Linked DNA regions of Xenopus tropicalis. The protein of the gene in region 1 interacts with the protein of each later gene in a pairwise test. Links are inferred from orthologs where the notes say so. Each region holds a gene or a part of one and is shown on either strand. Other genes may lie near its edges. The genes, in order: kifbp and dok2.

Evidence for each region.
Region 2: the proteins of kifbp (region 1) and dok2 interact in a two-hybrid assay, tested with the Homo sapiens proteins (2 studies listed by BioGRID and IntAct). The two-hybrid records come from large-scale screens. The link is inferred for Xenopus tropicalis from reciprocal best matches to the Homo sapiens genes KIFBP and DOK2.

Annotation. Positions count from the first base shown.
Region 1 is NC_030683.2:39,061,235-39,064,281, reverse strand, and holds the end of kifbp (KIF-binding protein), read right to left. Parts: intron 1,978-3,047; coding exon 1,099-1,977; 3' UTR 529-1,098; downstream 1-528. UniProt on the Homo sapiens protein: Activator of KIF1B plus-end-directed microtubule motor activity. Required for organization of axonal microtubules, and axonal outgrowth and maintenance during peripheral and central nervous system development.
Region 2 is NC_030679.2:129,458,831-129,463,305, reverse strand, and holds the start of dok2 (docking protein 2), read left to right. Parts: upstream 1-1,405; 5' UTR 1,406-2,426; coding exon 2,427-2,489; intron 2,490-4,475. UniProt on the Homo sapiens protein: DOK proteins are enzymatically inert adaptor or scaffolding proteins. They provide a docking platform for the assembly of multimolecular signaling complexes. DOK2 may modulate the cellular proliferation induced by IL-4, as well as IL-2 and IL-3.

The DNA.
Region 1 (3,047 bases):
GACTCAAGCACTGTACTGGTCAAAATTCAGCATTTGCAATACACATAATCATTTGAAATATTATATATATGTTATATAATGAAGAAACATGTTTATAGAGGGTTTTGTGTGGAGTCACTTTCATTGTAACAACTTAAACTTATGTAGGGGCAGCATAAATGAATAGCTTTCATTAATTCACCTAAGTACATGAAGCTAGCACTTAAAAAAATGTAAATCCTTAAATGAATGTAAAATGGCTCTGGGCACTTTTCTACGCCCCTTTGCCAATGTACATGATTTGTTTCTAATTTTAAAGATATTAGCAGTTTTTAAACTTCTAATATAATGAATGTAAAACAACAGCACCACCTGCTGGAATAGGTGACTGTAGGTAACTGTAGACAACTGGCCAAAATGACCAAGCAGGTGGAGATATTAGTTTAAATGCATTATATTATTAATTTAAAAATTGCTAATATCTTAAAAACTAGAAAGAAACAAGTGAATGGCAATTCCAACTACATTTGAGTTTACATTTCCTTCAAGTTTTTTTTTTTTTTTAACATGTATCTGCAGCTTTCCTGAGACATTCTCCCTATATCTGTATAGCGCAAGAGCTAACAAGCAGTTTCCATGTATCAAAATACGCTAAACCTTCAATGTTTCATCTATGCCAAACAACAAATTTAAATACAAATGTATATACAGCCAAGGCTTGGTAAGGAGAATACAGCCAGCTAGACCGAATGATTATGCCTTCCACAAAACATTCCTAAAATGTTTCTTCCCTGCTTAGTAATATTTGTCTTCTTTAACAGCAATAGATATTAGCAATAAGCTATTAGTCACCTTTAACAGCATTGGATATTTCTAAGTTATCTGTTCCTCCTCCTTTTTACTGGTCCATTAATGGAAGCATTTGGGGTATTAACTCTTAAAGCATTTTCCAGGTCTATTTTCTAACATTCACTCATTAGCTTGTGTTTATTTAATATATGGTAGACAGAGGAACCACCATACAGTAACTAGGAGTTTAGTTCTGGAAATAGAGGTAACAATAAATACAGACCATAAACCTCAGTCTTCATGTGATATTTACAACAAACATCTCATTGTTCAGGAAAATGATGCTAGCTGAATCCTTAGCCTTTCCATACGAGTAGGAAGAAGAGCCACCATCTCCTTACTAAGTTCTAGCTCTGTCTCAATGCACTTTATGGCTTCTTTATTAATTTCACAATAATCTACAATATATTTGTAGTTATTTAAGGATTTCTGTATGTTTTCCAGCTGTATCTTTCCATCAGTGGAAATCAGCTTTCCATAGAGACGTGCAATGCGGAACTTGGCCACCATGGCAGGACGGAGAACATCTTCTTCGAGTTTCTCAGGAAATTTCTGGTCTGGGCTTCTTAGCGAGTCCAAAAACATTTCATAGTATTTGATGGCTGTCTGTGCTAGACTATTGATCTTTTTGATAGTGTGAGTGTCCATTTCATCTAGTTTATTACCTATTGCTACCTTTAAATCCATCATCTCATAAGAGGTGTCTGCCAGCTCAAACTGAAGCTGCCTGCAGATTAGAAGATAGTATTGTGGGTTTAACTCTTTGCATAAAGGTTCTAACATGTCTATTCTACGCTTGTGCATTTTGCATCGCCTTTCATAATCCTCCTCAAAGAAGGCGAGAAGCTTAAACAAAGAACTATGGTCCTGGATTATTTCTATATGGTCAGTGACATGCCCATCTAGCTGAAAGTATTCCTTTGATTCATTTATGTAATTCTGGCCAACAAGGAACACCTCCCTTGCTTCTTTAAAATCTAATGGATGTGAACACTCAACCTTTTCCTCTGCTGCTTGAACTGAATCATATATATCGCTTGACCCAAACAGGATAGCCTTCTTTCTGTCCTTTTCTTTCTCATCTTCTTCCTTTTGTCTCTGTGCTTTCAGTTCTTCTTGAATGTCTACATCAAGTTCTCCGATATTGTCCTTTGTCGAAAGACAAAACAAAAGTCTCAGTTACATAGGAGCTCTTTAATACACAATAGAAATGCCACCCTTTTAGACATGAACACATCACCAGCAGGTCCAATCGGACTTTTTACTGGCAAAATGTAGCAGGATTATGCCTTTGTGGACCACTGTAATTTGCAAATCAAAGAAGGATATCACAGTCTCCTTTGGCTTTCATAAAAAGTCATGGCTCAGTTCTAACAGCATGCTCCTCTGGGCACTCGGTTATATTGTTGTGACACAGCAGACTTATGAGGGATTTATGACCGCATGTTGTCAGAACGGAGCCTTCACCGAACAGGCCAGCACTCTGCACAGCCTCCCCCCAATACTAAAGGCAAGAGGAGCACACAAACTCCCACTAAACTTCCTTTGTTACGGATGACTGGTCTGACGCCTGCTTTGAACCATAAGTCAAGGCAGTGTGCACAGCACAGCTTTTAAAAGTATAGGTCACCCGATAGACAAACGTTAGTAGGTCCTATAGAGCACTGTGACTTATTTCACAAGTGTATTTAGTAGTCAACAAATTAAGGCAGAGGAGTCTTACTACGGTAGACTAGTTATTAGATGGGTTTGGATGTAAAATCTGTATTGAAAAATGTTAGTGTTACTGTTCCTTTAAATTGACTTTTAGTATGTTACAGAATGTCCAATTGCTAGAAACCTTGGAACTGGTCTTTATTATTTATTCTTAATAGTTTTTGAGTTATTTGCTCTTCTACCCCTTTCCAGCTTTCAATTGGGCAAAAAGTTACTGACATGTGAGCCTAGAACTTTATTGTTGTTACTTTTCATTACTTATCTGCCTATTCAGCCCCCCTCCTATACCTATTCCAGTCTCTTATTCAAACCACTGCCTGGTTGCTAGGCACAATAAGACCCTAGCAACCAGAGAGATGCTAAAATACCAAACTGAAAAGCTTCTGAATAAAAACCTAATTAATTTAAAAAAAAAAAAAAATGAAAGAATAATGAAGACCAACTGCAAATTGTCTCAGAATATCAATGTATACATCATCACGAAAAGATAATGAAAAGGCGAG
Region 2 (4,475 bases), on another chromosome or scaffold:
TTCCCTTTTGAACACATCATCAGTGACATTTAAATCTACAAACAGCACATGTACACAGAGACCTTTATTCCATGTAAATTTCATCAAGAATGCAGGCTAAAGGTGGCCATACTCGGTAAGGTCGCCAAGGGAGCGGATCTTCTCCCAATATCGCCACCTATGGGTGGGCAATGTCGGGCTAAATCGGTCATTCGGCCATGGGGCCATACGATCGAATTAGAACGGCGGGTATAGGCGCCATTGGTTCCGGGACCGCATGAATAAGCCGATGCGGTTCCCTGATCCGACAAAATATCAAACCCGTCGTTAGTGCCCATTCACGGGCCGATAAGCTGACTAATCAGTCTAATGGACCGATATTGGCAGTGTATGGCCACCTTTACACAGAACTTACTCCGGAGAGGAGGTTAGGATCAAAAGTAGGAGCAGACAGCTAGAGCAGAGTTTCTATGGAAACCAGCAATGCCTTCTCTTCATTGGCTGCTAGACTGGAGGGCATGTTTAATAATCTGAGTTGAGAAGAACTGGGCATGCCCAGGAGCCAACAGCCAAAGTAAATTCCTAAGGGAGGGGCTAGTGAGTTAGGAGGGGAAGGAATCCTAAGGACAAGGAAAGGTTAATATAAATTCAAAGTAAGTACTTACTGCATATCTAAATTCCCAGATCCCTGCTTGCTTCTCTGAGATATGGTGCTGGCAGCCTACAGCAGTGTGAAGACTACAGTGACATCACTGAAATCTCTCTTCCCTTCCTGTAGGCTGCCAGCGGCAGTAGCCTTCAGTAGCAATGAACATGTGTGTAACTTGATCCTGTCTCCTGTTCTGAGCTACACATGCCCACCAGCCAATCAGAAGGGGATCTGCCAGAGGGGGAATGAAACACATGTGCAGTATGAAGCAAGGAGGGAAAGGAAGGGAGAATACTTTTATAAAGATGGCTGCCTGTTCTAGAAAACAGATAGAAAATATGAAGTAAGTGTAAGAGTAACTATTTGATTAGGTGAGCCAAAAGTGTGGCTAGGAGGACTAGTGGGCAGTATGCTTTTTAAATTTTGACTTGCATTCTCTTTTAAGGGAATGTTGCAGCCTTACTATTAACCTCTGAACAGCCAGAGTGGCAGGTATTTAAAGATTTTAAAGAGGCTGTTCACTGATTAAATCTTTTTGTGGGGGGTTAATGTGTCATGTAATGTTTATATTACAAGCCAAGTAAATAAAACCTGTTTCGGCATCTGCAAAATGTGAGCATAAACCCATGCATTAAAGAGAAGTCCATTTGTGCTTCATCCATGCACAGTACATTATGCAAACATTAGTGCTCAGAAACTGAAGCACCAAACATATATTCCCTGTGACAGAGTTTGTTTCACAGCGGAAGCTAAAGTGAGGGAGGAACTGAGACCCTGTGAGAGAGGAAGAGAGTGCAACAGTCTGCAAGAAAGAGCTGCCTAGGATAAGAGCTACTGCACGAAAGGGGACAGAGAGAAAGAGAAAAACTGTGAAACTGGGCAACAAGGTGCCACTGGGGTATAAGTGAGGCAGTACGGACTAGACTACAGACAGGCGAGTAACTAGGAGGTGCGGAGGCTACAAAAAGGAGTAAAGGCTACATTAAAAATGAGAAATATATAGTGCAGTGCTTAGAAATTAAAATATGAAGGTGGAAACCACTGATCCTGGAAAATGAGGGAGTGAGGGTGGTAGGAGCACTGTGAGCACTAAGGGGGGGAGGCAGAGAGAGAGTAATGTGACAGGGCAGGCAGGTGGGGAGCTTAAACAGAAGAAGGAGTATTGTCCATTACAGCACAGAAGGATTAGATGGGCAAATGTAATCATAAAATAATTTAGGTGCAAAGGGGTAGACTGCTGTAAGTATGGAATAATAAGTAAGTGGTAGGCTTGGTGGGAGTTTTATAGGATAGCGGAAATCATGTCAAGAGAATTGGAAAGATAGGAGAGATCTTGATTTTGTAGGATAGTGGAAACTGTGTAAGATTGGTTGGGCATGATTAGTAAAGTAGGCTAGATGAAAGAACAGATAAGAGGTTGACAGTCTAGCTGGGAATGTGGTAGGATACAGCTAAGAGTGTGTTTGGTACGATAGCCAAGAGTTTGGTAGGGTAGCTGAGAGGGCGTTATTTGAGTTTGGAAATATAGGCAAGAGTTTACTTAGAAAGCTGACATTATACTAGAAGACTTAGGCCAGAGTTTGGCTGGAGAACTGATAAGGTTCTAGAAGAGTTTAGTAATATAGGTAAGGCATCAAATAGCCGTGAATGAGTTTGGGTGGATAAATAAATGCTTGTTAATATAGATCAGAACGTGTTAGGAGAGCTAGACATCCAAGAACAAGCTGGCATTAGCTGAAAGCACACTAAGGCTGGTAAGAGTGTTTCAGGCTAACTGAAGGTGGCTAGAGGGTCTGCAATGGATGGAGGAATTGTGAAGCAAGGGGCTCTGCACCTGCAGCACCAGCAGCGATTTGGGAAGGTGAGCTTTGTATGCCATAGAAATGAGTACATTTTCCTTTTTCACCTTTTGCTGTTGGGTATTTCTAACATCATATAATATTGCAATGGCCTAATTGTATAATGTAAAATTGCATTTATTTTTATTTTAGTTTCCAAGATTTCAAGACACTAAATTATATATGTCAGTGTCTCCTCTATGCTTATGCCCTTATGTCACCCTATACCTATAAGGCTTTTTGGCAGAGTTTATGAAGTTGGATGTGAGAGGCATAATGGGGTGTGAGTGCGGCCTTACAGGGTGAGGCCTAAACACACACAAAATTTCATGAGTTAAAATTTCTGTAGCTATATTTTAGTTGTAGTCACCTAAAGACTTGTGTCTTGTATGGCAGCTTCAGACGTGGTAATCTATGGGTCGTTATTTAGAACAAAAGTTTTTTAATTTTTTTAACTCCCAGCTTGCTAACAAACTCTTCCTGCAAAATCCACTGGCAGACATGAAAGGCTATAGACACCATCTCCCCTACTATACCTGCTATCCCACAGCCACAGTCCCTTCCCAGAGGCTATTATCCCCCCACTGCTACTATAGACACCATCTCCCCTACTATACCTGCTATCCCACAGCCGCAGTCCCTTCCCAGAGGCTATTATCCCCCCACTGCTACTATAGGCACAATCTCTCCCTACTATACCTGCTATGCCACAGCCACAGTCCCTTCCCAGAGGCTATTATCCCACTGCTACTATAGGCACCATCTCTCCCTACTATACCTGCTATCCCACAGCCACAGTCCCTTCCCAGAGTCTATTATCCCACTGCTACTATAGGCACCATCTCTCCCTACTATACCTGCTATCCCACAGCCACAGTCCCTTCCCAGAGGCTATTATCCCCCCACTGCTACTATAGGCACCATCTCTCCCTACTATACCTGCTACCCCACAGCGACAGTCCCTTCCGAGAGGCTATTATCCCACTGCTACTATAGGCACCATCTCTCCCTACTATACCTGCTATCCCACAGCCACAGTCCTTTCCCAGAGGCTATTATCCCCCCACTGCTACTATAGGCACCATCTCTCCCTACTATACCTGCTACCCCACAGCGACAGTCCCTTCCGAGAGGCTATTATCCCACTGCTACTATAGGCACCATCTCTCCCTACTATACCTACTATCCCACAGCCACAGTCCCTTCCCAGAGGCTATTATCCCCCCACTGCTACTATAGGCACCATCTCTCCCTACTATACCTGCTATCCCACAGCCACAGTCCCTTCCCAGAGGCTATAATCCCACTGCTACTATAGGCACCATCTCTCCCTACTATACCTGCTATCCCACAGCCACAGTCCCTTCCCAGAGGCTATTATCCCCCCACTGCTACTATAGGCACCATCTCTCCCTACTATACCTGCTGTTCCACAGCCACAGTCCCTTCCCAGAGGCTGTTATCCCCCCACTGCTACTATAGGTACCATCTCTCCCTACTATACCTGCTATCCCACAGCCACAGTCCCTTCCCAGAGGCTATTATCCCCCCACTGCTACTATAGGCACCATCTCTCCCTACTATACCTGCTGTTCCACAGCCACAGTCCCTTCCCAGAGGCTGTTATCCCCCCACTGCTACTATAGGCACCATCTCTCCCTACTATACCTGCTGTCCCACAGCCACAGTCCCTTCCCAGAGGCTATTATCCCCCCACTGCTACTATAGGCACCATCTCTCCCTACTATACCTGCTATCCCACAGCCCCAGTCCCTTCCCAGAGGCTATTATCCCCCCACTGCTACTATAGGCACCATCTCTTCCTACTATACCTGCTATCCCACAGCCACAGTCCCTTCCCAGAGGCTATTATCCCCCCACTGCTACTATAGGCACCATCTCTTCCTACTATACCTGCTATCCCACAGCCCCAGTCCCTTCCCAGAGGCTATTATCCCCCCACTGCTACTATAGGCACCATCTCTCCCTACTATACCTGCTATCCCACA